Astyanax mexicanus: one gene and its partners. The protein of the gene in region 2 interacts with the protein of the main gene of each other region in a pairwise test. Links are inferred from orthologs where the notes say so. Each region holds a gene or a part of one and is shown on either strand. Other genes may lie near its edges. The genes, in order: atpaf2, trim23, arhgef3 and pitx1.

Region 1 (8,004 bases), on a different chromosome or scaffold from region 2:
TTATATTTATAAATGTATAGCTTATTGGTGCTTATTTTTTCATACCTGGTATTCTTCCTCCAGGCGAGACAGTAGAACTGCCTGCTCTACTGTTAGGTGTCTGTCAATCAACCCCAATGATAGAACCACAGACTTCAGCTGACTTATCACATACTCAAGCCCTGCAGAAATATTCAATCATTTAGTAATTTTTGGAATGACAAATGTGAGATTTACAGAACAGAGATTAATATATAAATAACTCCACTCCTGTTCATTTCTGAAAATGTACGTAAGCAAAAAAGTGTGATACTCTGCTTACAGTTAAACAATGCATGTATATATTTAAATCTAGATTACAAATATCAAATAGATATCTTTTTGCAGAAAAAAATAATACCCGTCACTATTCTGAGGAAAAAAAAAAAACAATGCTCATCCGTACCAATCAGAGACCAGACGTTATAAGATTTAAGATGCTGACGAAAAGTATCCTTTGTCTCCTCTGGGATCTGGGGGCCCATTATGCTGTAGGATGAACCGATGACAACATTGTACCTACAGACATAAATAATGATCAGCCACAGTTACAATGCAAAATGTAATGCAAAGATTATTATATCATTAAAAATAACTATCAGTTTTTTTCACATTTTACCTCTTTTCAATCCACTCCAGAACAGGGTCCCATTCATTTTTCTGAAGTTCTACAAGTCCTGGAGGTTCTTCTACTCTGTAACTAAAAGGAATGCAGGAAGGTCAGATAAAATCGTTCAAAATATTGTTTCCTAGAGATCCATTTCCATCTTCAAAGTTAATGCTTAACAATTAATACCAGCCCTTGCACATTTTATAACCCTCCAAATAAAAGTTTAGCATACCAAACTGTATCTGTCTCTAGAAACTTCAGTGCAGCAGAGATGATCTGGTCTTTGTCCCGCTGGGTCGGGTTATCGAGGGCTGTGTTGCACAGAGTGGTCTACAGAAAACATTAAACATCAACTGAAATAAACTACTTCACAAACAAAAGAGCACCAGAGTCGGACATTTTAAGCTTTAATTAAAGTAACTCACTAGATGCATGGTGTAGAACTTGAGCGTGTCCTTCTGAGCATCCCACTCTGTCGCAACAGCGATAGCAAGGGCTTCATTTGGCACAGTGAAGAGTTTCCCTCCTGGAGTCTTCAGCTTTCTCCTGTCTAGATTGATTTCATAAAGGCCTCCTGCAGATCACAAGGAAGAAAACATTCATCATTTACATCATATTCATATCATTTTAATGAATTTTGTTTAATTACACGATGAGTTACTAAATATAATCAAATTAACTAGTGGTGTTTGGCAGGGACAAACTAAATTTATGTTGTGTCAGCACATTAATACTGAATTCCATATTTAATCAACTTGATGTGATCAATTGATTCCAAGATCCTCAGTTCAAACAACTGTACATATTACATGCTGTAAAACATCACAGGCCTGTCATGGAAGCTCCTAAAACACCAGTTTTATTATCATACAGACATTTTTATATCACAATGGATTAAAAAGCTTTTGTTAAAGATATGCTCAAAATCAGAAATCATCTAAAGTTTGCAGTTGATCAGAAAAAGCCTCCTGGAGAGAAGTTTTAGGGTCAGATGAGACAAAAAATCTGAAGGAGTAGAGCAACCTCAAAGGTCAGTGTAATGTTTATCAGTTCAATTTTCTTACCAGTTGAGGTTATATGAAAAAAATGAATGTAAAAAAAATCATTACTTAATATTTAGTGTAGTATAGTTTTATTATTTTTCACCTCTGCCCCTCACGATTGGAATTTCAGAAAAGAAAAAAAAACACTTTTTAAATCAACTTTGGCATCTTGTAACAAATGTAAGCTTCATATTTGAGACACAAAAGTGGAAAAATAAGAAAATCGAGAGAAGTTTCCCTTTTTTAATTATTTTTTTTATTCTGATTGCAAAATGCTAAAATGAAAAACTAGAAAACTTGAATGAAACCCCAATTCCTTTTCACTATACCAAATAGAAAACTGACATAATTAAGTTTTACAGCCAATTTTCTATTTTCGAAAATTTAGCTTGAAACGTTTAGAAAATGAAACTGCTAAGCGTAACACTACTGTTAAGCATAGTGGTGGTAGCACGATGAAATCTGGTAGATTGCTGCCTAAAACATACCCTTAAACTCTCAGTAAGACTGATAAAGCTGTGATACAACTGTGTGTTCCAACAGGACACTGACCACACACACACACACACATCACAGTTGGTTATGGAATAAATATATATATTAAAAATATAAATATATATTACATATGTCAAAATCAAGCAAGCTGAGCAACACCCAGCCCAGATATTAGATCAATGCAAGGCCTGCGTGACTGACTGCTGTTCAGCTGTAATACAGTACAATACTGTGGAGTGATGCTTACCTTCACCTTGAGAGATCGTGACGTCCCGATAAAACTTCTTACGCTCTGCGAAAATACATTATTAGACGCTTTTAGGCATTTAAAATGCAGCTAAAACACTGTGACAAGAGAACACTATAATAAAACAGAGATCAGTATAATAATAATAATACAGTGCAGAGCAGAGCCCATAGATATCTTATGTATATGATGTCTATAAGCAGAAATTCGCTCACCTGTCGCAGGAGTGGCGTATCTCGCTCTCTGCACGTTTGCTGAACATCCCAATAACTTTAACTCCACCTGCCGACCAGCAAGAGGCACAAGAGCCCGGCTGACCAGCCCGTGAAACCGACATAAACCCGGTAACATCGCGAATCTCAACGTGTGGAAACGAGTCGCTGCTGTGTAAACGTTCTGAAGACGTTAGCAAGTTAGCTTAGCTTAAGTCGCTCATGAATGAATCATCCATTTAGACACTATAGCGCAGAAAATCTGATTAAAATGAAAACAAAACGATCCCACAGTATAAAGTCTATTCAGCCAGCAAATACAACTTCTCCCACGCTGACCTTCCTCTCACGTTGACTTTCGTGAAAAGCTTTATTTTCAAAATAAAAGTCCCAAAGCGTAGTCTCTGCTCTGATGAAACTCTTGTAGAAAAAAAAATACCAGCAGGGGACGCCAAAACACCGCTCATTTTTATGGTACGCGTCCGCTCAAATACTACCCGCACTTTTTACTGACTTTTCTGAGACGTTTTTGAATTCAAATAAAGCAACAGATGTAGTCAACCACAATTCTAAGATTTTAAAATATATATTTATTAATATTTTATAGAAGAAGAAGAATTAGACAGGGAATTTCCCCCAACAATACAACATAATCGTGCCCACCCTTACAACTCTACTCGAACATATATTGGGGAAAAGGTAAATAAATAAATAAATAAATAAATAAAATAATCATAAGATATTAAAGATTTTAGCTATAAAACAGATCTTAACAGAGTCTGCAAAAAAAAAAACTGTATAAACATTGGCTTGGCGTTTGAGTCCTAGGCTTACAGTCTATTAGCATGCTATCATGCTAACAGTGTGTTTTGGCTCTAAGTCAGTAATTTTTCTTAGAATTTTTTTTTAGAAAAGTGCTGTCTTCGCTTTCGTTTCATACACACGCAAATAGAAAGCTAAACAGAAACCTGACTGAGTGGGTGCTTTACACTGCTACTGACTCGTTCAGTTTATTAGTGATTCATCGGCTCTACACCCAGTACCTATTCTGTGCCTGTTTTGTGGGAAGAGCTCATTATCGCTGGTCTATGCACAAGAATTCCATCAGAAGCACACAATTCCATGCATCACTTCACTGTGTGCATGCTTTTTTGAAAAAAAAAAAAAATTGCCTTGAATACAAAAAGTCAAGCAGCATCAAACAGTGCCTTTGGGATGTGCAGCATTTCAGCAAGCAGGAGCTAAAGAAAATTCCCTAGCTCCTGTCATAACAAAGTGATTTAATTATCACATACTGATGGAGAAGGAAGTAATGCGATAAGTGGAAGCAGTTACATAACAAAATGAACCAATCACGCAGCCCCAGGAGCAGATAACTCCCATACCTGGAGTGGAACATGCTAGTGTCAACCTGAAGCGAACCCCAGTCCAAGATCAGTGCTCTGGACCAAGGCTGGGTTCAAAAACAGCTTTTATTCTTCTCTGAACATACCAAACCAAACTCACTGAAGCAAGCACTCCCATGTCCAGAAAAAAAGGTGAGAGTGAATAAACCTCAAGAAAGCTATCACTTTAAATGATTCACTCATTTTGCAACAGTAGCCACAAATAAGGATGCATGTCTGCCACAAGATTTACCACACTTCATTCTTTAGGTTTTTGGAAACCAGTCATTCAAGTCAGTAGATACTTCAGTGGAAAACCTATAAAAATAATCTCTTCAGAGGAAACGCTAGTTCTTATAAATATGGATAGATTTTCCTATAAGTTTCATCATCTGGTCTCATGACATAATTTTTCAGCTTGTCAGCTGTTTCCTGTTCCATTAAAAGACAACTTTCCAAACATACGTACATATGCTCACACTCCCCTCCAGACGTCCTGCAGACTAGTATAAAACAAAGTGATCTTCTATGCTCACACAAAATATTAGGTCCAAGGAATTTGTGCAAATCGGCAAAATATTTTGTTTGTTAAACTGTTTAATATATCTGTGTTATAACTGATCTACAAACAACAATGTGTTCCCATACTAGGTGACTCACATTATCGTCCATTGTTCTTAATGCAGAACTGATACATATACTGTATATTTATTTACTGGAGCCCTGCTGAGTTTACAGCCTACTGACGTGTCTAAATACGTCTCTTGGGATGGTTACCACATCTTGTTGAAATTGTCTAGGTTCTTCTAAAAGTACAACTTTGTTGAAAAATAAAACCAAAACTAAAAATCAGACAGAATCAATTTTAAAAGAAAGGAGAAGACAGCTTTATTTAGCAGGTAGTTTCAATCTTACAAAGCAGATCAGAACCGGAAGTCTTCTGATTTAAAGAGTTAAAAACATTAGGTTTTATGCATAAAAAAAATGGTTGACCATTCTCAGTGGGCTGGGACACAGGTGGGCTTCAGGCTCCACTTACTTAACCCCTTCGGTTTCGTCATTATGTCAAGTCAGGATCTGTTTATTAAAAGCAAGCTTGAGCGTCCTCAGAAGACCTCACCTGCCTCGTTCGCTCTTATCTATCTTGCTAACGAGCTATTGGCCAGCATACAAGGAAAAATTGTTAACTTCTGAAGCGAGACCTCGGAGGCTGGTGCCTCCCTATTATTGGCCTGATGATCTGTTAATTAAAAAGACTCTTGAGTGTCCTCAAGAGACCAGGGCCGGTTGACCTCTTACACACACACAGGCCCGTTTGAGCAGTCACTTGCTCGTTACAGTTATATTGCATTAACATATAGTGTACATAGCTATAAGGAAACTAATTTTAATTACCGCACTACCTAAATTTTTCAGTGTACAACTCAGATAAGGCCATGCTTAAACCCCTCATGGTTGCATCTCGTGCCCTGATGGGGCCCATCACTGACATCCATATGTGGGGCCCATATGAGGGGCCCAACTGTCTCAGTGCTAGTACTGTCTTCAAGGGAATAAGTTTCATCCTTTGTATTCCTGCAGCCATCTGTTGCTTAGATAAAATCACGAGAGTCGTGCTGCAGTCGAGTCACGGTCGCGTCATCTCAATCATTCAGTGTGGTTAGGATTGAAAGTTTTAGTCAGTCATGCTCGCGTCTGGTGGTTTAATATTTTTAATATTATCGTAAGTCTGGAGACTTGGCTCATGCAAATAGTGACTTTAACAATGTCAACAACCAATAGGAGAGCTACGGGAAACTGCAAAGGAAGAATATTCTTTGTGACTATTTAGAAACAATTTGAATAAGAACACATTTTACAATTAATATGCCTTATATGGTTTTTACTTTAATATATAGTGTATTTTAAACACAGGCAGCACTTTAAAGTCATTATGTTTAAAGTTATTTTATTTTGCACAGTTATTTTTGTGCAGTGTTATTTGTGATACAAACAAGTTCAATAAATACACATTTTTCAAGAATGATGTTCTTTATTGCATTAATTCTATCTTAAACAAAGCCAAATGTATAGCCGTGAAACTGTGATCCTTTGCTATACAAGTTTGTCGAAAAAAATGGGGAAAATAAACTTATCGGCAGTTGTTAAACACAAAATTTATTATAGTAAAAAAATATCCAGAACTAATAAAAATTAACTGTTGATGGGGGCAAACGTTGAAAGTCTCTAATAAATCACAGGATTGATATACACATTATTTGTAATTTAATTTCTAATATGTATTGTATGTAAACTCCACCAGAAGCATGATGGGAAATAATCTTAGAAAGAATCTAGTTGCAGTCTTGCAATTAGTGATCCCCAGTAATCCCCCTGCAAAATCTTAGCCTGTGACGAGTCTGTGACTAAACAGTCTGTGACTTCTCTTTAGATGTGAGGGGGTGTCAGACTTTAGTCTGTTAAAAGTCTTTTCAGAGAGTTAAGTAATGTATGGATAGCATAAGTGTGCTGAGCTGTCTAATGACATTGAAAAGAAGTCCACAGTCCACAAGACAAAACTACACAGATTTGAATTTAAATGTATGAGAGATTTTATTGAGTATTATATCTTTGTTTAATCACTATAAAAATAAAACATTGTAACCAATTTTGTGATTATTCCAGTGCTACTCTCATTATGTATTATATATTACACTGTGCAGTTTTTAATGAAGAGACAGCAGTGTTATGGCACTTTCTTGTACTGAAATCTTATAATTGAAGTATGTATGTAGTTTTTTTTATAGTATAAATTTATCTCCATTTATATATGTTCACACAAACAGAGAAATTACTAATTTTTAAATAATTGTGTCTGTAATCACACATACTTGTAATAATTCTGCTTGTTTAGCCTACAGTTATGCCCACCCATTCACACTAAAGTTATAAGGAGTGTTTCAGCCAGCACAACTTTTTAAAGTGACCAATATGTGTATTTATTTCCTTTACCAACTCATAAAACGATCAACATGTGTAATCAGACACTAATGAAACATGCTAAGTTTAAGTTCTGGCACCCTTTTAACACCAGTTTTTCAGCCAGTATGCTTTTCTTTGAATTGTCCATCACAGAGCAGAAATCTGTTTGTATTTTAGTTTCTGATTTAGTAGATATTTTTCCTTTAACTGCTATAAAATACTCAGTATTGACTTCTGCATTTACTGCTCTCTGAAATCCTTCTCTTCCTTTAATGGCTGTGTTGCTCAATCCACACATTTCAGAATCTGCCAATTAAATAAACTGGTTGCTCAACAGAATCAATATGACCATAATTTGTTGATGACTTGCCAGTGAACAAACACAGTTAAAGACATCATAAACATGGTAACTGACTCCATATTGACTTCATTAACAGGAAACTGCCAAGTTGTACTTTTTTGTAAGGCGGTGATCTGTTAGAAATGGCTAACGGTACATTCATAGGTCAAAGTTTAGTACAGCCACATCACACAAGCATATCAGTAATCCATGTGTATAAATGAGGAGAAAGTGTGATAGTGCACCAGTACAGTGATTTTGCCATCGTTTTTTTATTATGCTGATCTAATGTGTTCTTCCTAGAAATGAAACACACCAACATATTTTTTTAAAATCTACAATTAGCCTGCTGAAAATTCCAGTTTAAGACTAAGACCCCATCCGCATGAATCCATATATTAAAAACACATTTTGTATACATTTTGTCCTGGCATCTACACAAAAACTGCATTTTAGGTAATAAAAAAGTGAGATTTTAGAAATCGCATTTAGTGTGTGTTGCGTTTAGTTGTGGTCAGGCTTGTTCATGCTGGTTATTCAGTTTTATCCTATTGGTCAAACACAATCAGCTTAATAATGTTTTTTTCTGCAGGGTGTCCTTAATAATAGTGTGAAAACCCAGCCAATAATTTGATTGTTTTATTGTAGCGTTATTCTGTCCAGTGTTATAGTTTCATTTAACATCCTATGTTG
Region 2 (7,824 bases):
CAAGTTCAGCAGTTATACGTCTTTGGAGCTCTTTTGGAACTAAAATGGTTCTGCTCATATTGGCTAAGATTACTATCCTGGTTTCCAAAACATCAACATCAGGAACTGACTGTTCCTGACACTCGCTTACTAATTTGTAGATCCCACCACTTGACCGCTGCCACTGGAACCAGATCAACAGCGTTATTCCCTTTACCTTCCCTGTTACGGCTGATCGGTGTAAATTTCTCACAGGCTGTTCATCACAGACATCTGCCAGAGTTTCAAGGGCAAACTGTGCAATTATCATACTGGCCTCAGTACCTTATGTCCTTGATGCTTGCCATACTCCTTGCAGACGCAGCACATAAGCGGGCCTGGCTGGCAGCCGTCCTCCAAGCAGACAAACTCGATGGCGTGCACCTGGTGCTGAGGGCACAGGGTCTTCTCGTGAGGCTTATCTGCCAGAGGAACGCGGCGGTGCTTGGCCAGTGTGCGGGTGGAGTGTGTGAGCTGGGAGCACTCGGCGCATAAATGGGTGGCGCACACCGTGCAGTACATTGAGGCAGTGTGGCTTTCGTCCTCATCACAGCGTATGATGCACTGCAGGGCAACAAGATGGAAGTATGTTAATGTAAACATACTAAGACACTGATTTTTGGGTTTTCATTGGCTGTAAACCATAATCATCAACAATAAAATAAAGAAACACTTAAAATAGATCAGTTTGTGTGTAAAACTTCTATATAATTTAGTTATGTATTTGAGTTTCACATTTTGAACTGAATTACTGAAATGAAGTAACTTTTAAATTAAATTTAACTACATTTTTTAAAATGAACTATATGTATATGTATAGAAACATATGATCCCAACCTCTCCCATCTCTCGCAGTGCGTCCTCCGACATCCCTGACTGGTTTGAGGCACCGTTCTGAAGCCGTTCAAGAAGTTCTAGCAGTGCAAAGTTCTTCTTCAGGCCCCAGACACCCGAGTCCCCTGAACGCGAAAAAAAGGAAACAGGTTTTGTTTTGCATTAAAAATACTATTTATCTTATTGCCCTAGTATAGTTATCCTACTAAGCTTTAAAATTAACCAATTTTACCTGAAATGGTTAACTTAATGAGCATCTAAACATTGGCAATGATAATCAACCACTCTATTAATATTTTATCCTGCATTAAATGCTGATATCAGTCTGAAATCAATCAGTCAATGCTACCAACGGTCAAACAAAGCAAATCATATCTAAAAATGCATAACAGCAGTTTAAACTCACCCAGCTCAGTGGCCTGCCTGTCAAATGGACACCGCACAGCCCTGCCATGGAGAGGCAGGCGGGTCAGGCAGTCATGGCAAACAGTGTGACCGCACAGCAGTAGCCGAGGCACCTTGTCTCCTTGCAGTGAAAATACGTCTTCACAGACTCCACACTCCAAAACCTGAGGAGCAGCAAGTATTCACAAGTCAAACTACATTTATGTACATATTTTACTATATGTTTTCATGGGATAACACACACAGCCATTAATAGCTGAAGTGAAAATGATTATTATGATCTTGTTCTTAGGCTTTAAGTTATTATTATTATTTTTACATAATGTCACCTTTTCTAGTCATTTCACCACAAATTTAAATTTAAATAAATTTCACCCCTTCCCTCAGAAGAGGTTAAAAGAAGAGTTTGATACCACTTTACATACTGTTTACCTAAATAACCAACTACAGCTCTGGAAAAAAAAGAGACCACTTCAGTTTCTAAATCAGTTTCTTTGTTTTTGCTGTTTATGGGTATATGTTAAGTGAAATGAACATTGTTGTTTATTCTATAAATTATGGACAACATTTCTCCCAAATTCTTCCAAATAAAATATTGTCATTTAGAGCATTTATTGGCAGAAAATGAGAACCTCAAAGAATGCAAAGAAAACGAGTTCATATTCATCAAGTTTAAAAGTTCAAAAATCAATATTTGGTGGAATAACCATGGTTTAATCACAGTTTTCATGCATCTTGGCATGTTCTCCTCCACCAGTCTTACACACTGCTTTTGGATAACTTTTTGCCACTACTGGTGCAAAAAGTCAAGCAGTTTAGCTTGGTTTGATGGCTTGTGATCATACATCTTCCTCTTTATTATATTCCAGAGGTTTTCAATTAGGTAAAATTAAATTTATAATTTTAAGTGGTACTTAATATTATTTTTCAATATACTCTATTTAAATCGTTTTAGGACACATAGTTGCTGTAAAAAACAATAGATAAGTCATTATACCCAAGTCATTATATAAAAGGTCATGTAAAAATGAATAGCACCGAAATATTACCACATATTATTATTTATGCTGGAACACATTTTAACAAGCTAACCTAGTTAACTAATTAACATCCTTTTTGAGGGCACCAATTGTTTGTTTGCGGCTTCTAGTTAACCTACACAGATAGGTAGTGTTAGCTCAGAAAGCTAGCTAGCTTGATATTAGCTGGCATTTTGCAATAACTACCAATTTTTCAGAGACTGTACCCTGTTAATTACGCGTAAATTACATTTGTGCAGCTATATATTGCACTGTTTCACAGAATTTCAGGGGATAAAACGTAGTGTTGTGATATTTTACTGGGTTTAGCTTAGCTAATCTAGGTATCTGCTAGACATTGGGGAATCCATTCCACTTGTTAGCAAAAATCCAGGCCAGGATTTCAATCCAACCGCCTCGTTGGCACTGCTGCAGCCGCGTTCAGAAGAGTAGCCCATACAGTTGGAGCAAAATCCTGGGGTGGATTATGGTTTTCTGGCCCTGAATTATCCATTTTTTTGCAACCACGAATGCAGAAACAAAAAAAATACAAAAATACACAAAAACACTCTCCCTAAATCACTGCACTTTAGTTTAAATCTAACATAAACTTCTGTACCTTCACCGTATTGCCTGTTGTGGCCCTTACGTGCCGGACACAAGGCTCCATCGGTGCTGCGGCTCCTTGCTTATTTACAGCGGCGGCCATCCTCGGACGCGACCATCCATGACAAAACCGGGGTGGTCGAGTCAGAGGACGAGCAAATAACAGCAGAAACAATAAACTCAATAAAATATGCTTACAACGTGTTAAATAGTATATTAATATTTTACATGGTAAAATAATTGCGCAAACAATGTTGTAAGGTTTGAAATTGTCTATAAAACCGGTGCTACAGCCGGCGTTTAAACCCCTATTTAAGCAATGGACGAATCCACAGTAAGGTTTCAGCTGTTTCCATAGGTTTTATTGTAGCTGCGGCTTAAAAATTACACTTTTTTGTAATTCTGATGATTTATACACAGTATATGCACTATTAATAGTGTTTTGTTTAAAAAAAAAAACAATTTATATAAGTTAATGCTCTTTCATGGAACATATGTGAAGCTAGGATGCTGGGACTGGTCACTTTTCTGATTTTACTATTTATAGGTATATATTGAGTAAAATGAATGAATTGTTGTTTTAATCTATAAACTGCCGACAACGTTTCTCCCAAATTCCAAATAAAAATATGGTTATTAAGAGCATTTATTTGCAGAAAATGAAAGTCAAAATAAAATAAAGATAAACGTAATGAAAAGGATGCAGTGTTTCAGAAATAGAACAAGTTCATATTTATTTAGAAACAACAATACTGATGTTTCAACTCAAGAAGAGTTCAGAAATCAATATTTGGTGGAATAACACGAATTATTAATTATGGCTTTCATGTGTCTTGTCATGCTCTTCACCAGTGTTTCACATTGTTTTGGGTGACCTTATGACAAATATATGCACGTTTATTTAGTATTCTCGTGGTATTATGATACATTATTTCTATTTGTCTAATAGTGATATGTGCACATTTGTAAATAGGTCGTCTCTTTTATATATTCTTTAACTTTTTTCGATATATTTTTTTAGATAATATATATTTTATAGACATTATTTTGCATGTTTCTCTTCATTATGTCAATACAAACTTTTAACATAAGCATATGTAAAATGTATGTCCAGAGGCAACAAAGATCAACAAATGTTAAGGGGTTTAGTCCCCATGTTTAGTAATATATTTATATACTCACCAAACTTAAAAAACAAGGAATAATGTTTGATCATAAAAAAACTTATCACTAATGGATTTCTCAGAGGTAAATACAAGTAAAAGAAAATAAAAATCCTCAGAATTTGTAATAGTTCAGAACAAAACTTTCTGCTGTATATACATTGCCAAAACGAAGCCCTCTTACAAAAAAGAGCATGTTAATTTCAATATCAAACTTTCAATATCAAAGATTCAGGGGGGTATTTTTATGTATTAATTTCAGTTCAATTTCTCTCACGTTTTTGGAAAGTAAATATTCTAAAGTTAAAGACCACAATTTTCTCCACGGTATACACTTTACAATACTACTCAAATATGATATTACATAAGAAATTGTAGCAATGTCTTTCTGAAATTATCGCTAGATAAAAACATCCTGTGCTGCTTTAATGTAAAACGCGTTTTGTCCCTATCTGCGCTCCGTCGTCAGCTGATGCAGGGGAAACGTCAGTCCGGTTTACTATCAAACAAAATGGATGTGAATCAGGCAAAACAGGAGCATCTTTTGGCTCTAAAAGGTACAGATTCCGCTCTCTGTCTGCTCCATTATCTCACCGACTGCATCTTAAGGCTCATCTCCAGCTGCTGCTTTAAAATTCGCAGCACCGGTCTGCTCAGAACCACAGCTTTAGTGTGGAAAGCGCTGAGAGTCCGGCCTGGTTTTCTAACTGCCCGGTCCACCTTAAATCTGCAGTATTTGTATTCGGGTCAGAGCAGGGTCTTGCATGCACCAGTGTGTAACCTCTGGACTATTTAAGGTGGATTGGAGAATTTGTACAAGAAGCTAACGCCTAATTGTGATGTCAGCAGGGAAGTTTTTAAACACAACTGTAGATACTGTATAGTAATACTGTATAGTACAATAATATGAAGCATATTCATGAGTATTAAAGTCTGAATAAGGTGGCGTTTACTGTGTTTTTAAGGAAACAATAGAGAAAAGCTTTTTAAGAGGGATGTGTTGTATATCGATACTTTTAAATGTGCTTTTCATTGAGAATAGTTTCATTTAGGCACTTTAAGAAGCAAATGACCTGTTTTTATTTATGTTTTAATTTTACTTATCATTTTTACTTATATTTACTTAAAACAATTAATACAAATATGTACTGTAAATGGCCATTACATTAAACCCATATGTTTACACGTTCTGTCCATTGTATCAGCTCTACTGGCCAAATCGGTCCACTTTGTTCACCTCCATTCGTTCACCCTGTTGTTTACTAGTAAGGAACCCACAGGACCACCACAGAACAGCTCGTATAGGGCTGATGTATGAGTGGATCAAACACTGGAGTTTTTAAACACAGTGTTTTGAACACTCACTGTCCTCCATTGTATTAGACACTCCTACAGTGTCAAGATTCTCCACCTTGTAGATAAAGTTAAGTCAGAGACAGAAGCTCTGTTGATTATCTTCTAGTCCTTTGTCAGTTCTTAGAGGACACTGCCCACATATTGTAGTTTACAAACTACAGCAGCACTGCTGCTGTGTCTGATCCATTTGTATCACCACCATATATCAGTGTAACTGCAGTGTGGGGTCCTGACAGTACAGGGTAAAAGAAGGATAGTAATTAAAGTATGCAGAGAAACATATTTACTACAGTCTGTTATAATAGAGCTACAGTGCTCCTATATGAATATACCTTACAAAGTCAACATCAGTACATAGGTGCTCATTATTACTATTAATATGTGCATTTTTCTTTTTACTAGTGATGCGACTGACAAAACCGACACTGTTCACTAATATGCCTGTGACGTGTGAAGACAGAGACCTTCCAGGTAAACAAAAGAAACAACAATAACTCTATTGTTTGGTTCATTTAAACTATTTTATTGTCCTCACACTTTTCCATTAGAATTAAAGTGTTCTCTTAAAATCCCTTGCATTAAAGAGCCAGGGACTTTAATGCTAATATAGGCACAACTGAGGCAGATTAGCTAACCCTTGAATTAATTAATAAATTAATAAAGTTGCACCCATTAGTGACACAAATGTGCAAATGCACAAACACAGCTTGTCTAGTCTGTGTTGTGAAGGATTACCAATAGAATAGGACTCTCTGAAGCAGATAAAAATGATCTTATTGGCACCTAGCATTAAGCTGTGGAGCAATTCTGGCCTTCCCTTAACAGTAGAGACAATTACTCCAACAAAAGCAGGTCAATATTGTGTAATATAATATATATAATATACACTCAGGTGAGATTAATATTATTAATGAAACAAAATAATGAAGACAATGAAGACAAGCAGAAGGAGCCACTATCTCCACAAATTAAGATTTCATTAAGTGATTTCATAACAGTTAGGAGGTCTGACATATTTATCTTTTTATATTTGACACCCACTCTTAACTACTTTTATTGCCTGTTAGCGAAATTGGAATGAAATCTGTGGCATGACTGTAGCCCAGAATATAACCTGCAGACCCAACAAGAATTTATAATGTTTGTTTTCCCTCTTGCCACAGTCCAGCACCTCCGAAACACAATATTCAGCCATTAACGGCACCGCTCCAGAGCCATATGTCATCACGACACTTCTTCGTAGGCCCTATATTTATATGAGGGGGCAAAATGAGAGTGGAGCATATTCCACTATTAATCAAGATGAATGAGGAGAACCTGAGAGCAGAAAGATAAAGTGAATGGAGTGGTGTAGATGCCAGCCTTGTCTCATTCTCTGCCTTCTCCTGTTTTCTTTAATTTAGTCATTGCAGACTTCTGCTAAACGTATACTGTAACCTGTAAAAGTCGTAATTTGTCCAGGCCTTGCCTTTGACTTGGTATCAGATGACTCTGCCATACTATACAGTTTAACTATGTCAGCCTGCCACTCGCTGGGCACAGCTCCGCAGGGTTGGCCGCTGATCAGACATGAAATTCTCTGAATGTAAGAGCTGTATCTTTTCCACTGCTATAAATCAGGCTCAGGTTCTGGCCTTCTTAGGTCACAGTTCTGAATCATAAATCAGATAAAGATTTGGACTCTGTTGTGAGTGTATTGCTGTGACTCCAGATCATATTTAACTTAACCTCCATTTGTCTTCAGGTGATCTGTTCAGTCGACTCATGAGGGAAGATCCATCTACTATTAAAGGGGCGGAGACTTTGATGCTCGGGGAGATGCTGACACTACCACAGAATTTTGGGTAAAAGGTTTTACCGTTTATTGTTTTAGACATTATATTAAAGTGAAGATGATTGGTTTATTGCTCAAAAGTGAAATGTACAACTTCTTTTTAAATTTGAACATTTGAACACTAAAATGTTTATTTTTTCTGTCTATAATTTTGATTACCGTATTTTTCGCACTATAAGGCCCCCGGACTATAAGGTGCACTATCAATAAACGTCTGTTTTCTGGTCTATTTTCATACCTAAGGTGGACCGGATTATAAGGGGCACATTATGCAACACTAGTAAGGAACAGGAGTGTCACCATGTTTTCCTTCTAATACAGCAGGCATTTTATTCTCACAAAAATGCTTAAAACTCTAGAAAATCCTCAATGGCTTATAGGGACAAAAACAGATGAACCTTCTTAATAAATCTCCTGATTTACCGTGAGTGAGCAGGTTTCCCAATATTTTGTCCAAATGGTGTACACAATCCCTCGCCGCAATAATTATTATGAATAAAAAGAAACACATGTCCTGATGATTTGCAGGACACATTGTTACATGAAATGTGTTTACAAACCTTTTTTGTGCATTACAATATTATCATTT
Region 3 (7,696 bases), on a different chromosome or scaffold from region 2:
GTAAACAGGAAGTAGGAAATAGCAGCAATATGAAATCCAGTAAAAGTGGAAAAGTGCATTAGTGCAAGTTTTCTAGATAACATAAATACATATACAGAAACAGGAAGTAAACAGGAAGTAGGAAAATAGCAGCAATATGAAATCCAGTAAAAGTGCAAAAGTGCATAAGTGCTAGTTTTCTGTAGCAGCATGGATGAGTATGAATGAAAAGCAGCAATATGATAAAGCTAATTAATTTTACAATTAATTTAAATTTAAGTTTAACAATATACTCCTGCAACAAAGTGAGTATAATTAATTAAGTTTTACTTAGTATAAATACAGTATTTAATAAAACCAGACCCTGATTTTGCACAAAATGATGATGTTGTAGGAAAATTGTGAAAAAAAAGTGAAAAATATGCAAAACGATATTTAGTGCATGCTTAAAAATGAAAAAACAATAATTAAAAATAAAAATACACTAACAAAAACTACTCAGCCACAAAAACTGCTATGTTCTGGCTTAATGATGTTTGGCTTAAATCTTCATTCTCTACAGCAGAACATTTGTACAGACATGCGACTCTATGCCGCTATGTTGTTGCACAGGCCGGGTCACAGCACCTGCTGATAAAGCAACAGGTGAACAACCGGCCCCCATAGCCGTCCCCGATCCCTCATCTGTCCTCAAAGCTTAGAGGCTCATATCTACAGACACCAATCTGCTGTTTGAACCGGAGCAGAGCATCGAGACATCTGCTGTCATATCTAAATATAAGGGAGGGTCATTTTATTTCATGTATCTGTGGTTACAGCTGCTGCGCTGAACCGTCGCAGATGCAGCCTAATCATAGAGAGCAGCCCGAAGGAGCTTAAAGAGCTTCAGCAGCCTGAAACCAAAACACACTGAGGAACCAGAGGAAGCAGAGACATGCCTGCAACAAAACCTGCTATCAGCACAGCTTCGAAAGATGATGGTGGAACTGAAACATCACAAGTCTTTTCTTCGCTGAGCCCCTGAGCTGAGCTCTCATCAGTACAGCAGTTCACACACAGCAGCATTCCTCACCGAGATGCTATGTTTGCCTCATAAAGGCCATGACTTAAAGCCCAAACATCTGACCTGAACATAACAGCAGCACAGTGCAGGCGTAAAAACAGCATAACAGTTCCTTAATGTAGAGAACACACTCTCTTCTCAGACAAGAGAAAAGCTGATGATTTAGATTGTGTCCATTATTTTATCGAACATTTATAAATATTTGCACGATCCGATATATTGTCCCAGAAGAAGATCATTTTTACGTCACTAAAAAAATAATTACGATTTATGATATACCGTCTCTCACGGGTGCCAAACACAGAACAGACAAGCGGGAACACCAAACATACAATTAATTAAATAAGGGGTCAGGCTTATAAGAATAGTCAGGGACAGGCATAGTCAATAACTAAATGGCAGCATAAACATACCAGACATACCAGAGTGATCAGGCAATGAGGTCATACACAGGATAATCAAAACAGGGCAAAAAATGACAAAAATACAAAAATAGGTCAATACTGAAAACTACCGAAAAAAAGGAAAAAGAGTAGCTTAAATAACAAAAAAAATGTGAGGTAGAACAGCTATGAAATAGATTCAACATCAGGTGAGGATAGAGTGAAAACTGAAAACAGGGGCTATTTATACTACGAGTACAGTGAGTGTGAGTAATCTCAGAAGCACGGCGAGCCAGAACACCGATATGTCACGTGATCTGGCACATCCGGAGGGATGAGCACTGGTCCATCTTGGGAAATGGAGTTTTTCGTTTTTTTTGAGAGAGCGAGAGCTAGAGTCAGTGGCAGGCAGACTGAGAGTGACAGGACTGAAACTATACCAGAAACAATCCTCAGATGGACCAACATGTGATCCAGCTTGTTAACACCCAAATATCAAGTGGTTCTTTTAGTGTAACACGATCCAAAGAACCTACTTTGTGGTATCAGCAGATACAGAAACCAGCTCAGTTGTTAAAATGATACCTGCTGTGTACTTGGGGGCATCTCAAAAATACATTTGACTATCATTGAAAGGTTAGTTTATTTCAGTAATACAGTTAAAAAAAGTGAAACTCATATATTATACAGATGTATTAAACACAGAGTGATCTATTTTAAGTGTTTAATTATTTTATTGTTGATGATTATTTATGGCTTACAGCCAATGAAAACCCAAGAAATCAGTGTCTCAGAAAATTAGAATATTATATAAGACCAATTGGTACTTTTGGCAGTGTGGGCAGTGTGCCAAGTCCTGCTGGAAAATGAAATCCACATCTCTATAAAAACACTGGAAAAACACTGCACTGACTTTGGACTCCAAACCATCACTGATTGGTGGAAACTTCACACTAGACCTCGAGCAGTTTGGACTGTGTGTCTCTCCACTCTTCCTCCAGACTCTGATCCCTTGATTTACTTTAAATGAAATGTAAAATTTACTGATGGTCAGTGATGGATTTCATTTTCCAGCAGGACTTGGCACACTGATTTTTGGGTTTTTATTGGCTGCAATCCATAATCATCAACAATAAAATAAAAAAACGCTTAAAATAGATCACTCTGTGTTTAATACATCTATATAATGCGTTTCACATTTTGAACTGAATTACTGAAATAAAGTAACTTTCCAATGCTATTCTATTTTTTCTATAGTTTTTTTAGATGCACTAGTATATAAATAAATATATATAAATAAATAAATGGTGTATATCTTACCCGGGCACTTCATTACTTCCGACAGCAGTTTGCATGGAACCAGAACTGTCGACCTTCCAGCTCAAACAGAGAAAAACACCCTTAAAAACAGGATTTCCAGTTCAGCTCTTCATTAAAGAGGAAAGTTCAGGGCTGGGAGTCAGTCCACCGGTTTCACAGCGCGAGCAGCAGCGGTAAATTATTAATTTTATTATTATAATCCCCGGTTTGTTTTACTGAAGTTTTATTATTCCTTTCTTTAGTGTTTCTTTAGTTCAGTGTCAGACTCCTCCACTGCTCCATTCACACAGCCTACATTGAGGGCGGGGACAAAGCCAGAGGCCACGCCCCTCACATGCGCTAACAGAACCGTTCAGCCACGCCTCGCTGATGCAGTAAGCCCCGCCCATGCCTAAAAAAATATAGCAGCTCCGTAAGCCACGCCCTTTGTAGTCTGTTTAATATTATACTGTAATATGTAAAATAAGAAAATATATTCTTAAAAAGCGCATAAAATTTACCCTTACTTTTGTATAAAATTATAATTTTATACAAATTATAATTACATAGTAAATAATTATATAGTAAATAATTAAGTAATTACATACATAAATAAATAAATAAATAAATGAATGAATGAATGAATTTATTAGGTTAAATGTCTATATTTATATAGAATTATAAAATAAGCCGAACGTCTATTACATAGAATATATATATATATATATATATATATATATATATATATATATATATATATATATATATATATATACTACATATATTCTATACTATATACAACACAATAATGTAGATTAAGTTAGTTACATCTGTAAGAGGGCCTTTTTTTTTGCTTTTTTAGCTTTTTTTCACTCAACTTTAATCATAAAAAACAAAGTTATATTCTTAAGTAAATAATTACATACATAAATAAATGAATTAATTAATTAATCAAGTCCAATATCTAAATTAGGAATTAGGAATAGGAAAATAACTGTAATCTGTATACTTAGTAGTTTATATACACATTGTTTTGTATATCCAGTTCTAGTCAATAGTTTAAAGACACCTTTACGCTCAATGTTTTTTTTTTTTTTTTAGTTCTCAATGTAATTTATTTTCTACATTGTAGATTAATATTAAAGAAATAAAAACAATTAAGGGACACATGTGGAACTATTGTTCAGCACCTCACTATAATATAGTAAGAGATATAAGGTGTGTCCAAATATATATATATATATATATATATATATATATATATATATATATATATATATATATATATATATATATATTTCAGATGTGTGCAGTAATGTATGCACAGTGTAGGTCAATGTGTATAAAAATGTATGTATATTATATTTACATAAGGTCTATAAGCCACGCCCTTGAATTTCCTATGTTTTCATGATGAGGTCATCACATAGCTGTTTTATAGACAATAAAATACTCACATGATTTTAACACAAACTATGTTACAGGAACCAATGCAAGTATGAGGAGTAAATATACACTGATCAGCCAAAACATTAAAACCATTAGATTCTATCTTTCCCAAGTTTAAGAACTGACCGTTCACTTGCTGCCCAATATGTAGATCAAACCCTTTGACGTGCCATTGTAAGCAGGTGGCTGCTTGATGATTACAACTTAACAAAAAAGATCTTAATGAAATTTAATGAACCTCTGCTGCCACCCAGTGGAAATGACTGCATATGTAATCTGTCAGTAAACTATGTGTTAAACAGGGTCCTAATGTAGGTCAATTCTTCAGTGTTCCTCAACTGGAAGTGTAATCTTACTTATTAAACTATAATTAATGTATTAAAGCAGACCAAGCATTGAACAATGTCCTATCCAGTGCTGTAAGATTTTGTGGGAAAGCAAAACAGCACTGACTTTGTACTTGATAATAAAACACAGTGGATCAACACCAGCAGATGACAGACATGTCTCTCCAAACCATCACTGATCATCAGTACATTTTACATTTCATTTCAAAATCAAGTTTTCAGCACTGTTTACCTCTGCTGACAACTTTTATAGAGATGCGGATTTCATTTTCCAGCAGGACTTGCCAAAAGTATCAATTGGTCTATATATATATTTTATATATTATATATATAAATATATATAATATTAAAAATTCTAAAACATTTTCTGATTTTTGAGTTTTCACTGGCTGTAAGCCATAATCATCAACAAGGAAATAAACACCCGAATAGATCACTCTGTGTTTAATACATCCATATAATATATGAGTTTCACATTTTTAACTGAATTACTGAAATAAAGTAGCTTTTCAATGAGAATTTTTTTTAATGCACTGGTACCCTAACCTTAATCTAAATAATACAAAGGAAGTCAATGTATAATGGTTTCATACTGGTAATGTAAATTAAATCTTATAATAAAAATAATAAAAATCGAACATTCTTCCAATACACAGTACTATTTAGGCCCAAAAAATGACAAACAAAAACATAAGCAGTTGGTCATAAACATTTTAGTTTATTATCACATAGTTCCTACATTAGAGTACTATAAAACAGTACAAAGTTCATATGTAATGTAGAAATCTCTAATATTAAAAAACAAAACTGTACAAAAAACACAAAAACTAGAAAAAGTAGAATTTTAACATATTGACAAAACTGTCAATCAGTTTCCTGCTCTTCCCTTTGTTCATGTAATTCATGTGATTTACGTATTAATTGTAATTCATCGCTCATTCAATATTCAATCCACGAGATTAAACACATTCTTGAAGTGAGTCCTTAGTACAACGTTACTGTAAAAAAAGGAGGAAAAAGGGTATTTTGCATATTTTGCATATTTGTTGGCACTGACTGAAGAATACAACAAAAAAATAGGGCAGAAATAACATTAATGTCTGTAATGTGAACCATCCATGAAGAACCAAATGTGAAACCATCGTTGAGAAAAGTTAAAAACCAATAAATAAAACAGTAATATAATTTTTTTTAAAAGCTCAATGATTTCCATACTTCCATATTCAACATAATAAACCGTAAACCAGCGTACAGCACGATGTCATAGATTCCAACGAGCCACAGAGTCCGACCATTGGAGGAAGTGGTGAACAGCACTTGGTTAATGGATGGATTGGATAAAATGGTTGTTTTGTGCTATGCTAACTGTCGTAACGCTTTAGTGCTAACACTACGAGAAAGAAGGCCGTGCTTAAAAACAGCACAGACGCTTTGGTTAAATAGCTTCCCCTCGCTGCATCCTCTCTTCAGCAGTCGCTTTCTCACCAAAGTCTCACCAAAGTCTCACCAAAGTCTCACCAAAGTCTCATCAAAGTCTCATCAAAGTCTCATCAAAGTCTCAGTCAACCAGCGTCTCCCCTGAGGAGAACCTGGAGGTCTCGGATGTGGATGGATGTTTTTGTAGGATGTACTGCGAGGGGTTTGTTGGCGAATAGAAACGTAGAGCAGTAAAGTGGCGATGCAAGTCCAGATAAAGGCCACTAGTTTGACGCTGCTTCTATTAGTCCTTCCATCTGCTCAGCATTGTGGTGGTGGAGCTCGGCTTTGCAGATGGTGGGGGTGCAGTGTAGAGAGCTGACAGCAGGGGGCTCCTCATCACCTAAAAACACAACAAGAAGAAAAGAAAGAAGAAAAGAAAAAGAAAGACAAGAAATAAAAAAAAGTGTCAATTTTAAAAGTGTAAAGTTTCTGGCTTGGGTCATAAACTAAAACCTAATTCATGCACAAGACATGCACATTAAGACAGAAAGTTGTGCTAGAAAATGTATTAGAATTAGAATTAATTCTGCTTATAATGAAATTCAAAGATCCGCACAACTTAATGCCATATATAATTGAAGAAGACGCTAAAATTCAGCAATAAACCAAGGTCACTACTTAATATACACACAACAACCAAGCAAACAGTACGGCAAAAAGGCAGACACAGCTAATTAATAAAAGCAGTTATCCAAAAGCAGTGTGTAAGACTGGTGGAAGGGGTGGGCGATATGGGCCTAAAATGGGCCTAAAATAATATCACAATATTTCATTGTATTTCTGTGACAACGAAACTCGCTACTGCTACAAAGTAAAAAAACATACATTTTATTATGGCATGCGATATGATATGGCACACACCCCTAACTGAGACATAAACAAATATGAATAATAAGAATTGTATCAGATTTTTGTAACAGAAGTCATTGATCCAGAATGTCATGATACTAATAATAATAATGCACTCCTCCAAATATCTCCATATATCCAGGATTAAAGTAAAATAAATGATACTGGACAGATATAATCTATAGTCTCCAGTAGATATATAATAGGAAATGAAAACAGTGTGAATTTTTTATCTTTTAATAAAAAGAGTAAAAAGAGAAAAAAAGCACTCTGATGTGATCATTATGGTACCATATTTCAGGGTATAATATCATTCACGATATTCAACAACTTTGGCGATATTACTGCATATGATACGATATGGCACATCCCTAACTGGTGGAGGAGTACATGATGCCAAGATGCATAAAAACTCTATTTAAAAACCAGGGTTATTAAACCAAATATTGATTTCTGAACTCTTTATATATATATGTATATATGCCATCCCCTCCCCTCCCAACTCCCAAAGAGCACCACTTTCAATTATAAAGGACAAATCGGTACCACTTTAAAATAAGACTACCTTTATAAAGGGTTTATAAATGGTTTACAATTAGTTTATTAATGGTGACTAATTAGGTTGTAAATGCCTTAAAATCATTAATAATCAGTTATAACACATACGTAGAAAGGGCAACAATATAGATGGCTGTGGGTTCACTATTTGGCAAACAAGAGGTCATTGTTGCCTTTTCTACATATGTGTTATAACTGATTATTAATGATTTTTAAGGCATTTACAACCTAATTAGTAACCATTAATAAACTAATTGTAAACCATTTATAAACCCTTTATTAAGGTATTC
Region 4 (7,500 bases), on a different chromosome or scaffold from region 2:
GGCTAACCTGACAGTGACACACACTCACCTCACTCTGTTTCTTGGTTTGTCCAGCTAGAACAAGAATTGGTTCAGTATGAATTTTTACAGAGTAGCAGAGTTTGTGCAGTACATCATGCAGTGTCTTCAGGGACAATGGAATCATGATTTAGTGCATCGCTCTATACAACTGGCCTAAAATAAAAAGAAGGAAAGAAAGAGGGAAAAAGAGAGTAACATGAGAACACACCTGGAGCCAGAGAGGATTTTGAGATTCTAACAGAGCCCAGAGGAAAGGTGCTTGTGTAACCTTTGACCCCCAAACAGCCCTAATTCACCCTGAGAGCCTGGTTCTGCACACTGTTCTCCCTCTATTCAGTGTAAACTGTGGGACTGTTAGTGAGGAGCTACACTCTTAAATATAAAGGTGGTACAGATGGTTCTTTAAATAGTGGCATAGAAAAAACACTATTGGTTCCATTAAAAAAAATCTAACGTCACCAAACTCTTGCTGCTGTGCTGGGATGCTGTGTCTAGCATCCCAGCTAGAACCCTTCCAAGCTGTTGTGTCTGTTAGCATCACAGTCCAACTCTGTTAGCATTGCAACTAACCTGCTCCAAACTTTCATGCTTTCATATATCAAGATAATGTTAGATAACTTGATGCACAAAAGGTTGGAGGCCTTTATTAGTGCAGTAATGTTTCAATGTTCATGTTTCATCGTACACTCTGCCATCTTGCATACACAGTGCTGTATGTGGGCGGTCACTGTCTGGTCTCTTGGGGAGGGGCTAGGTTTCCAGAGAACATAGAGACACACACAGTGGGAGAGGCTTCATTCCGTTCTTAGGACAGCTTCACTCCACTACATTTTAAATAAAAATGTTGCTATATTAATATTTAAAAAGTCAGATTTTGTACTTTTAACATAGCAGAAGCCGTGTAGATGACTTCTCACCATTATCTGTTCTTACAAAAAAACACATTCTGTTTGACATACGTCGTCCCACACACACATATTCATTCTGACTCCAGTAAAGTGTGTGTGGTGTTTGACTGTCGGGTGTTGACCATAAACGGCGGGCTGGGGAGGATCCGCCCCGATGTTAATGATGACCCTGTTACCTCTACACTTATCTCCTGAGGCATTAGTCAACATTAGTCTAACTCTAAGTGGTTAATTATAGCTGGCCAAAATAAGTCAGTCATGGTTGTGTTACAGTCTATAACACAAATTCCACAGTTATTGATTCACCTTTTAAACCCAGTGTATAATTATGCAAATATATAAATAAAAAAAATAAAATGATACAACACAGGCTTGATACAACTTATGAAGTCATGCTCCAGTCCATAGTGAAACACAAGGCACCCTAAGGAGATGCTTGGCCAGATAGATCTTATATATTTGAAACGTTTATCACTTTTTCTTTCTCCCAAAAAAAAAACAAATCACTAGACATCCATCATCCTACAGTTTTGCCACTATCAGGGCCATAATAAATAATGGATTTATTTGCTGGATGAGGAACTCGCAGTTGAAACCAAGTTGCTGTCCGCAAAAGTACTGAGCAGTGACTAAAGGGTTCAACTACAACCCCAATCTTGATCACAGCTTTAATCCCAAAATTGCCAACTTTAACACAAACTTCAACTCAATTTCCAACTTCAACCCTGATTCTAGTTGTAACCCCAACTCCAGCCACAAACATAGTCCTATACCCAATCCCATCTTTGGTCCCAGCACTAATGCCAAATCCAACCCAGTCCTAATCCCATTCCCAAATCCCAACTCCAGCTCCAATCCTAATCATAAATTTATCCAGCTCTAATTCCTACCCTATGCCTTTCCTCATACTAATTTAGGCCTAGCTGCAATCTGCTAACTACAATCCCAATCTCATCCTTAATGCTAACTTTAATCCCAGTATTAGTCCACACCTTAATTCCATTTGCCATACCCACCCTTACCCCAGCTCTAATTTTTTATTTTTCCATTCTATTACATGCAGGTTTTAATCTTCCCCAATTCAAATCCAACCCCAAACCTAATTCCACTCCTAATCCCAATTTTTCACAGCTCAAAAACCATACCCCATCTCACCTGTAAATATGTTCCCATCTCTAACATCTAACCCCAATCACAAACCCTCTAACACAGTACCAACTCCAGTCCTGAACTGAACTCCAATACCAGTCCAAACCCGAACTCCCAGCCCAGCTCCAAACAAACCCTACTGTATCTGACTTACAGAACCCTGTGTGTGTATCTGTGGTTCTGCGCTGTTCGTGTAGCAGAAGAAGTGGGTCACAGCGCGTTTAGAATATACACATGAGGGTGTTTAAATTTAAGTTTGACTGCAGATTGATCGGAACCCTTCAGCCGCTCATGTCCGTAGCCGCGCTGTGGTTTATAATAATGCTGGAAAATTAACCGATCAGACGATCACGGCAACTGTCACTAAAAACTGCCATAACAGGGTAGACTTCAAACTAAAACAGGTAACATTAATAAAATACTTTTCATATTTATAAATTAAAATAGTGATAAAATATAAATCTATATGTAACACTTTATAAAGTAACTAAAGGTTTAAACAATATTTAACTACACAGTGTAAATATTTAACAGTAAACAGTTATTATACGGCACAAAAAACATTTGTAGATCCTATTTATTTTCAAGAGTATAATTTAACAGTAAACCCTGCATTTAAAGTTCAATCATATAAAGCAATAATAATAATAATAATAATAATAATAATAATAATAATAATAATAATAATAATAATAATAATAATAATAATAATACACTAGTATCCCCATCATAAATAAGAAACAAGAAACTCTAAATACATCACATTAGTACATAAAACAAATTGAATTCATACAATAATATCAACTATTTCAAACAGAAAATAATAATGATTAAAATAATAGGAAAGTGCCCTGCGGGATAATGTAAAGTTATCTGTATAGTTAGGGAGGTGTAATAGGAATGTCTGTAGATTTAAGGAAGGGTAGGAGGGGGTTGCTGTTTATTGGCTTCTTCTTAATCCCGCTATTAAGCGCGAGCTTCTTAAAGGGGCTGATTGGATTTAAGATCAGTATCAAACACTGTGCTCATAACATACAGCCCTATCCGACCATGACCACCCCCCCACCACTAACCAATAATAATAATAACAATAATAATAATAATAATAATAATAATAATAATAATAATAATAATAATAATAATAATAATAATAATAATAGCTGTTCCGTTGGGAATAAATGTGCTCAGTATGTTTATTATTTAAGATGAATCTGTCTTTATTATGGTGTGTGTTATAAGATTGATATTGGTTTAAAATTCAGCTTCGTGTTTTAGAACAGCGCGCGCGGCTGCGAATTTAGCTCTACAACAGTATTAAATATAAATAAATGAAATATAAAAATGCTTGATTAATATGTATTAATAAGAACTGAACCGTAACTAAACAATTTTAAATGAAATTGTATTAACATGTATTTAAACGGACTAGGAAAGAATTTCTACTTTACAGTCCCTCTGTTCTGAGGCACTCCAGTTTTATCAGTTTGAATACAGCCTACTCAAAACGGAGCGAAATGTCTACATCACCCCCCCTCAGCACCACCAGCTATAGGCTTAGTTCATCTAGAATCCCACATAAACGCCAACCCTAACATTAACATCAACACTAGCGCCATCAATTAACATTAACTTGCAAAACCAAAATCTGCACTAGCTCCACCTATAAAATCAAACCAACACCAACAGACCACCAAAGCAAACCCTAACATCAACAATAGCTTTATCAAAATTAACACCAGCATCTAAAAAACACATTTAACATTAAAACTAACATCAAATCCAACACTAACACCATCTATAAAATACCAGAGCAATATCATTTATAGTAACATAAATAGCCAATACAATACGCTACCATTAACCATAATATTATCAACGTATTATTCAAATGTTAACCATAAGCACAAATTTTAGCACCAAACCAGCATCAGCTTCAACACCAAAGCCAAAACTAACACCATGTATATAGCTTCAATACTAAAACCAACAGAATAAACAATTTTATAAAAAGCCAATGCACTCAACTTTCAACACTTAAACCACCAACATGCTACCACCACATCCAAAACCAATAGTGATGCCATCATCACTTAAACGTCAGTCTCAACCCAGATATTAATCAGATCTTCTTAAGTCTACTCTTGGGCTATACAGCATTTTAATTTAGATTTCTATAAAATAAAAATATAACCTACGACTTGAGCTTAATTCCTGTCTGGGAAACAGACCCTTAAAGTTTCCCTCAGCCACAAACCTAAACTCTAGTACCTAAACCCTAAGACATACACCCTAAACACCAACCCCTAGACCCTAACTATCTCTCCGCACTGGTTGCTCGGGACAGCTTTCCTTTCCGCTCAGACGCAGGAGTGACGTCACGTGCACGCTGGAGTAGCCGCTTAGAGAAAAGCCCAGAGAGGCGCGCGCAGCAACCAAAGCGAACAGAACGCGTGCGCTGCGGGAGATTTACACATCTATACACACATAACACACCGGCTTTTCACAGCATCACACACACGCACCTTATACATACACTTCTGCACTTTCCGGAGCTCTTAGCGCGTGCGGAAGCGCGAGCTGCATGGGGACAGTCTAACCGGCGGAAGGATCGCGCGGTGAGTGACTTCTGCTTTTTTCCGCGTTTCACGAGCCTTAACCAGAGCAGGGCACGAACTCCAGTCTGTACAGCGCGATGTGTTCGGTGTCTGTGTGTGTGATTATGTTTTGGCACCCTCGCTGTGGAATAGCTTGTCTTTTTTCAGAACCGATTTTACCTGCTGTTGCTGTTCCCTGCGCTGTCCTAAAATTGCGCGAGCTCGATAATAATTCATGCTAAAATTAATTGCAAAACCGACTGATTTGCATCAAATGAAAACAACAGAATTACATAAGGAGATATTTGTACACATTCTGGCAAGGGCGTGCATGGGTGTTCATGAGTGTTTGTGTGTTTTATAGCGAGCCACATACTGGAGCTTTATTAGCCTCATAAAAGAACGCGGCTCTGCAGATACAGATAAACGTGAAGATTCCTTGAGCAGGTTTTTTGTTTTCGATGCTTTTAATTTTCTTGCAAATATGCACACAAAATATTACACCCCAAATGGTGTTCTTCTATGGTATCGCTGAAAAATCTTTTGTAACATCTTTTTCAAACAGCAATAACAAAGGAAACCAATTCAAACAGCAATAACAAAATCAAGCACAAGAAAAAAACATGCAAAAAAGTTTATTGTATAATTCAAACTATATTTAAATAAAAAAAACTTCAATATTTCAATATTTCATTAAATACATATAAACATATATAGTATCGTTGACAGAACAATTTTATCAGCTTTATTTGAATTATGTTAGGAATTTAATTTAAATAGCAATTTAAATACCACTAACAAAATCGCGCGTGAGAAAGAAGTGTGCAAAAATAGATCCGCGAGGCTTCGGTGGTGCAGCATTGATGGTAGTTCAAAGTGAGTGTAGAGAGGTGTGTGTTCAGGAGTGTGTGTGACAGTACTGGTAAAAGCCTTTATTCATTTATCTCGTTTTGTCAGAGAGCTTGCTTTGAGAATGAGCAGCAGGCCACAAGTAGTGAAGCTGCATGTGCGCGCGTTTCTAGACTAAAATGAGTTGAATATAAAAGTTCAAATAATAAGCAAAGAATAAAAACAGCAGATTAAAAGGGCTTAGGTACTGGGGATTCTTTTTTAACGCCATCGTAGCTTTCTGGCGAAGAGTATGACATACAGAAGTGTTTACATTTTTTAAAAAGTGGATGCAAATATATATATTTTTTATCTCTTTTTCATTGGACACGTCTTTTTTTAAATTAAATGTTCTTTATTTATGAAAGAACCCTGTGTAGCACCTTTTTGTTTGTAAGAGTGTGTGCCACAGTAAACCAATACCACCAAAGTAAACATAACCTAAACACAGAGAAGCATTTTTAAAAGCTAAAAACTTACCTAAAAACAGCACACATCACTGCTACAAAGGTGAAAACACTGTGGAAAGTGTAAATCGATATAAAGTGGTGCTGAAGCGAGCGTAGCTAAAGTTGGTACTGAATCAAAAATCTAAAAAACTCGGACAGTTCTCAAACTCTCGGAGATTTTTTATTAAAAATGAAACGCTAAACTAATTATACTCTTGAAAATAAAGGATCTACAAATGGTTATTTGTGCCTTAGAATTACTTATAATAACTCTACAATCCTGTAGAGGAACTTCCGTATGCTTAGTTCTTATTTCATCTTTCTAATACTAACTATACATTAATTCTATATGTAACATAGTCATTTGTTTAATTGAACAGTGGTTATCCAAGTGTTCGATTCAAATGACAAAATAATAATAATAATAATAATAATAATAATAATAATAATAATAATAATAATAATAATAATAATAATAATAAAGGCCTGAAGGTGTGTTTAAATCTTAGATTTTCAAACGTAAAATCGTGAAAAAGTATATAGTAAGAAATATCCCATAAGAAAAGTTTCAAATATACTAAATAATAATAATAATAATAATAATAATAATAATAATAATAATAATAATAATAATAATAACAATAATAATAAAATTGTCAGGAAGGATTAAATTGTGTTTGACTCTATTAAATACAGTGATACATCACTGGTTTTATTTAAAGAGCCCTTCAGCTGATCTATACACACTCAAACAGCACTCAGACACGGCAGGGTGAAGGTGAGGCTCATGATGAAGGTTCTGGGGGGGAGCTGGAGTTGGGGTTTTGGATTAGGTTATGGTTGAGAGCACGGTCTATCATACTGCCGTTATCAAATATTAGAATGTACACAATAAAATACAACTATTCCACACGGTTGAAAGGACTGCTTCTGGTCCTACCGGTCAGCAGTCCAGACTAAATGGTGGTGTTTTGCGGTAAAAGAGCTGTAGTTCAGACACACTCTCTCTCTCTATCTCTCTTTCTCTCTCTCTCTCTCTCTCTCTCTCTCTCTCTCTTTCTCTCTCTCTCTCTCTCTCTCTCTCTCTCTCTCTCTCTCTCACACACAGACACACACACACTCTAGTTATGTAGTGTCTCTCTTTCAGTGCAGTGTTGCCGCTCCGGTTTATAATTCAGTGCGGTTATAAAACACCAGCCCAAACACGGCGTTAAGCTAAAGCCTGTTGACTAAGGCCTAAAAGTCTGTGGTAGTACGGGAACTAAACCTATATATAAATCAAGTTTAACGTTTAAGTTAAATTATTAAAAACGAATTGATTTTATCAAATCTATCATGCACTTAATTGAGCGGTTTTCCAGACAGGCATTTAGTCTATTCTAGGACGAAACAGCATTTTGAATAGAGATTTCCTTTAAAAGGAAAATGCAGTCTACGACTATGCCTAATCCTTGGAAAGTGCCCCTAAATGTAAAATGCATGCAGTTACTG

What was found.
Region 1: the proteins of trim23 (region 2) and atpaf2 interact in binary tests that used the Homo sapiens proteins (3 or more experiments, as listed by UniProt). The two-hybrid records come from large-scale screens. The link is inferred for Astyanax mexicanus from reciprocal best matches to the Homo sapiens genes TRIM23 and ATPAF2.
Region 3: the proteins of trim23 (region 2) and arhgef3 interact in binary tests that used the Homo sapiens proteins (3 or more experiments, as listed by UniProt). The link is inferred for Astyanax mexicanus from reciprocal best matches to the Homo sapiens genes TRIM23 and ARHGEF3.
Region 4: the proteins of trim23 (region 2) and pitx1 interact in binary tests that used the Homo sapiens proteins (3 or more experiments, as listed by UniProt). The link is inferred for Astyanax mexicanus from reciprocal best matches to the Homo sapiens genes TRIM23 and PITX1.

What each region holds. Positions count from the first base shown.
Region 1 is NC_064422.1:24,662,341-24,670,344, reverse strand, and holds the start of atpaf2 (ATP synthase mitochondrial F1 complex assembly factor 2), read right to left. Parts: upstream 3,002-8,004; 5' UTR 2,765-3,001; coding exon 2,629-2,764; intron 2,459-2,628; coding exon 2,414-2,458; intron 1,203-2,413; coding exon 1,054-1,202; intron 959-1,053; coding exon 861-958; intron 719-860; coding exon 638-718; intron 538-637; coding exon 425-537; intron 162-424; coding exon 46-161; intron 1-45. UniProt on the Homo sapiens protein: Plays a role in the assembly of the F1 component of the mitochondrial ATP synthase (ATPase).
Region 2 is NC_064427.1:22,848,515-22,856,338, forward strand, and holds the start of trim23 (E3 ubiquitin-protein ligase TRIM23), read right to left. Parts: upstream 3,011-7,824; 5' UTR 2,986-3,010; coding exon 2,896-2,985; intron 1,422-2,895; coding exon 1,259-1,421; intron 978-1,258; coding exon 856-977; intron 583-855; coding exon 304-582; intron 1-303. Other genes in the region: trappc13 (trafficking protein particle complex subunit 13), read left to right, coding at 4,518-4,602, 5,804-5,872, 7,146-7,245.
Region 3 is NC_064431.1:3,304,051-3,311,746, forward strand, and holds the start of arhgef3 (rho guanine nucleotide exchange factor 3), read right to left. Parts: upstream 3,018-7,696; 5' UTR 2,781-3,017; coding exon 2,746-2,780; intron 1-2,745. Other genes in the region: il17rd (interleukin-17 receptor D), read right to left, coding at 6,221-6,339. UniProt on the Homo sapiens protein: Acts as a guanine nucleotide exchange factor (GEF) for RhoA and RhoB GTPases.
Region 4 is NC_064424.1:34,450,967-34,458,466, forward strand, and holds the start of pitx1 (pituitary homeobox 1), read left to right. Parts: upstream 1-4,483; 5' UTR 4,484-4,693; intron 4,694-7,500. UniProt on the Homo sapiens protein: Sequence-specific transcription factor that binds gene promoters and activates their transcription. May play a role in the development of anterior structures, and in particular, the brain and facies and in specifying the identity or structure of hindlimb.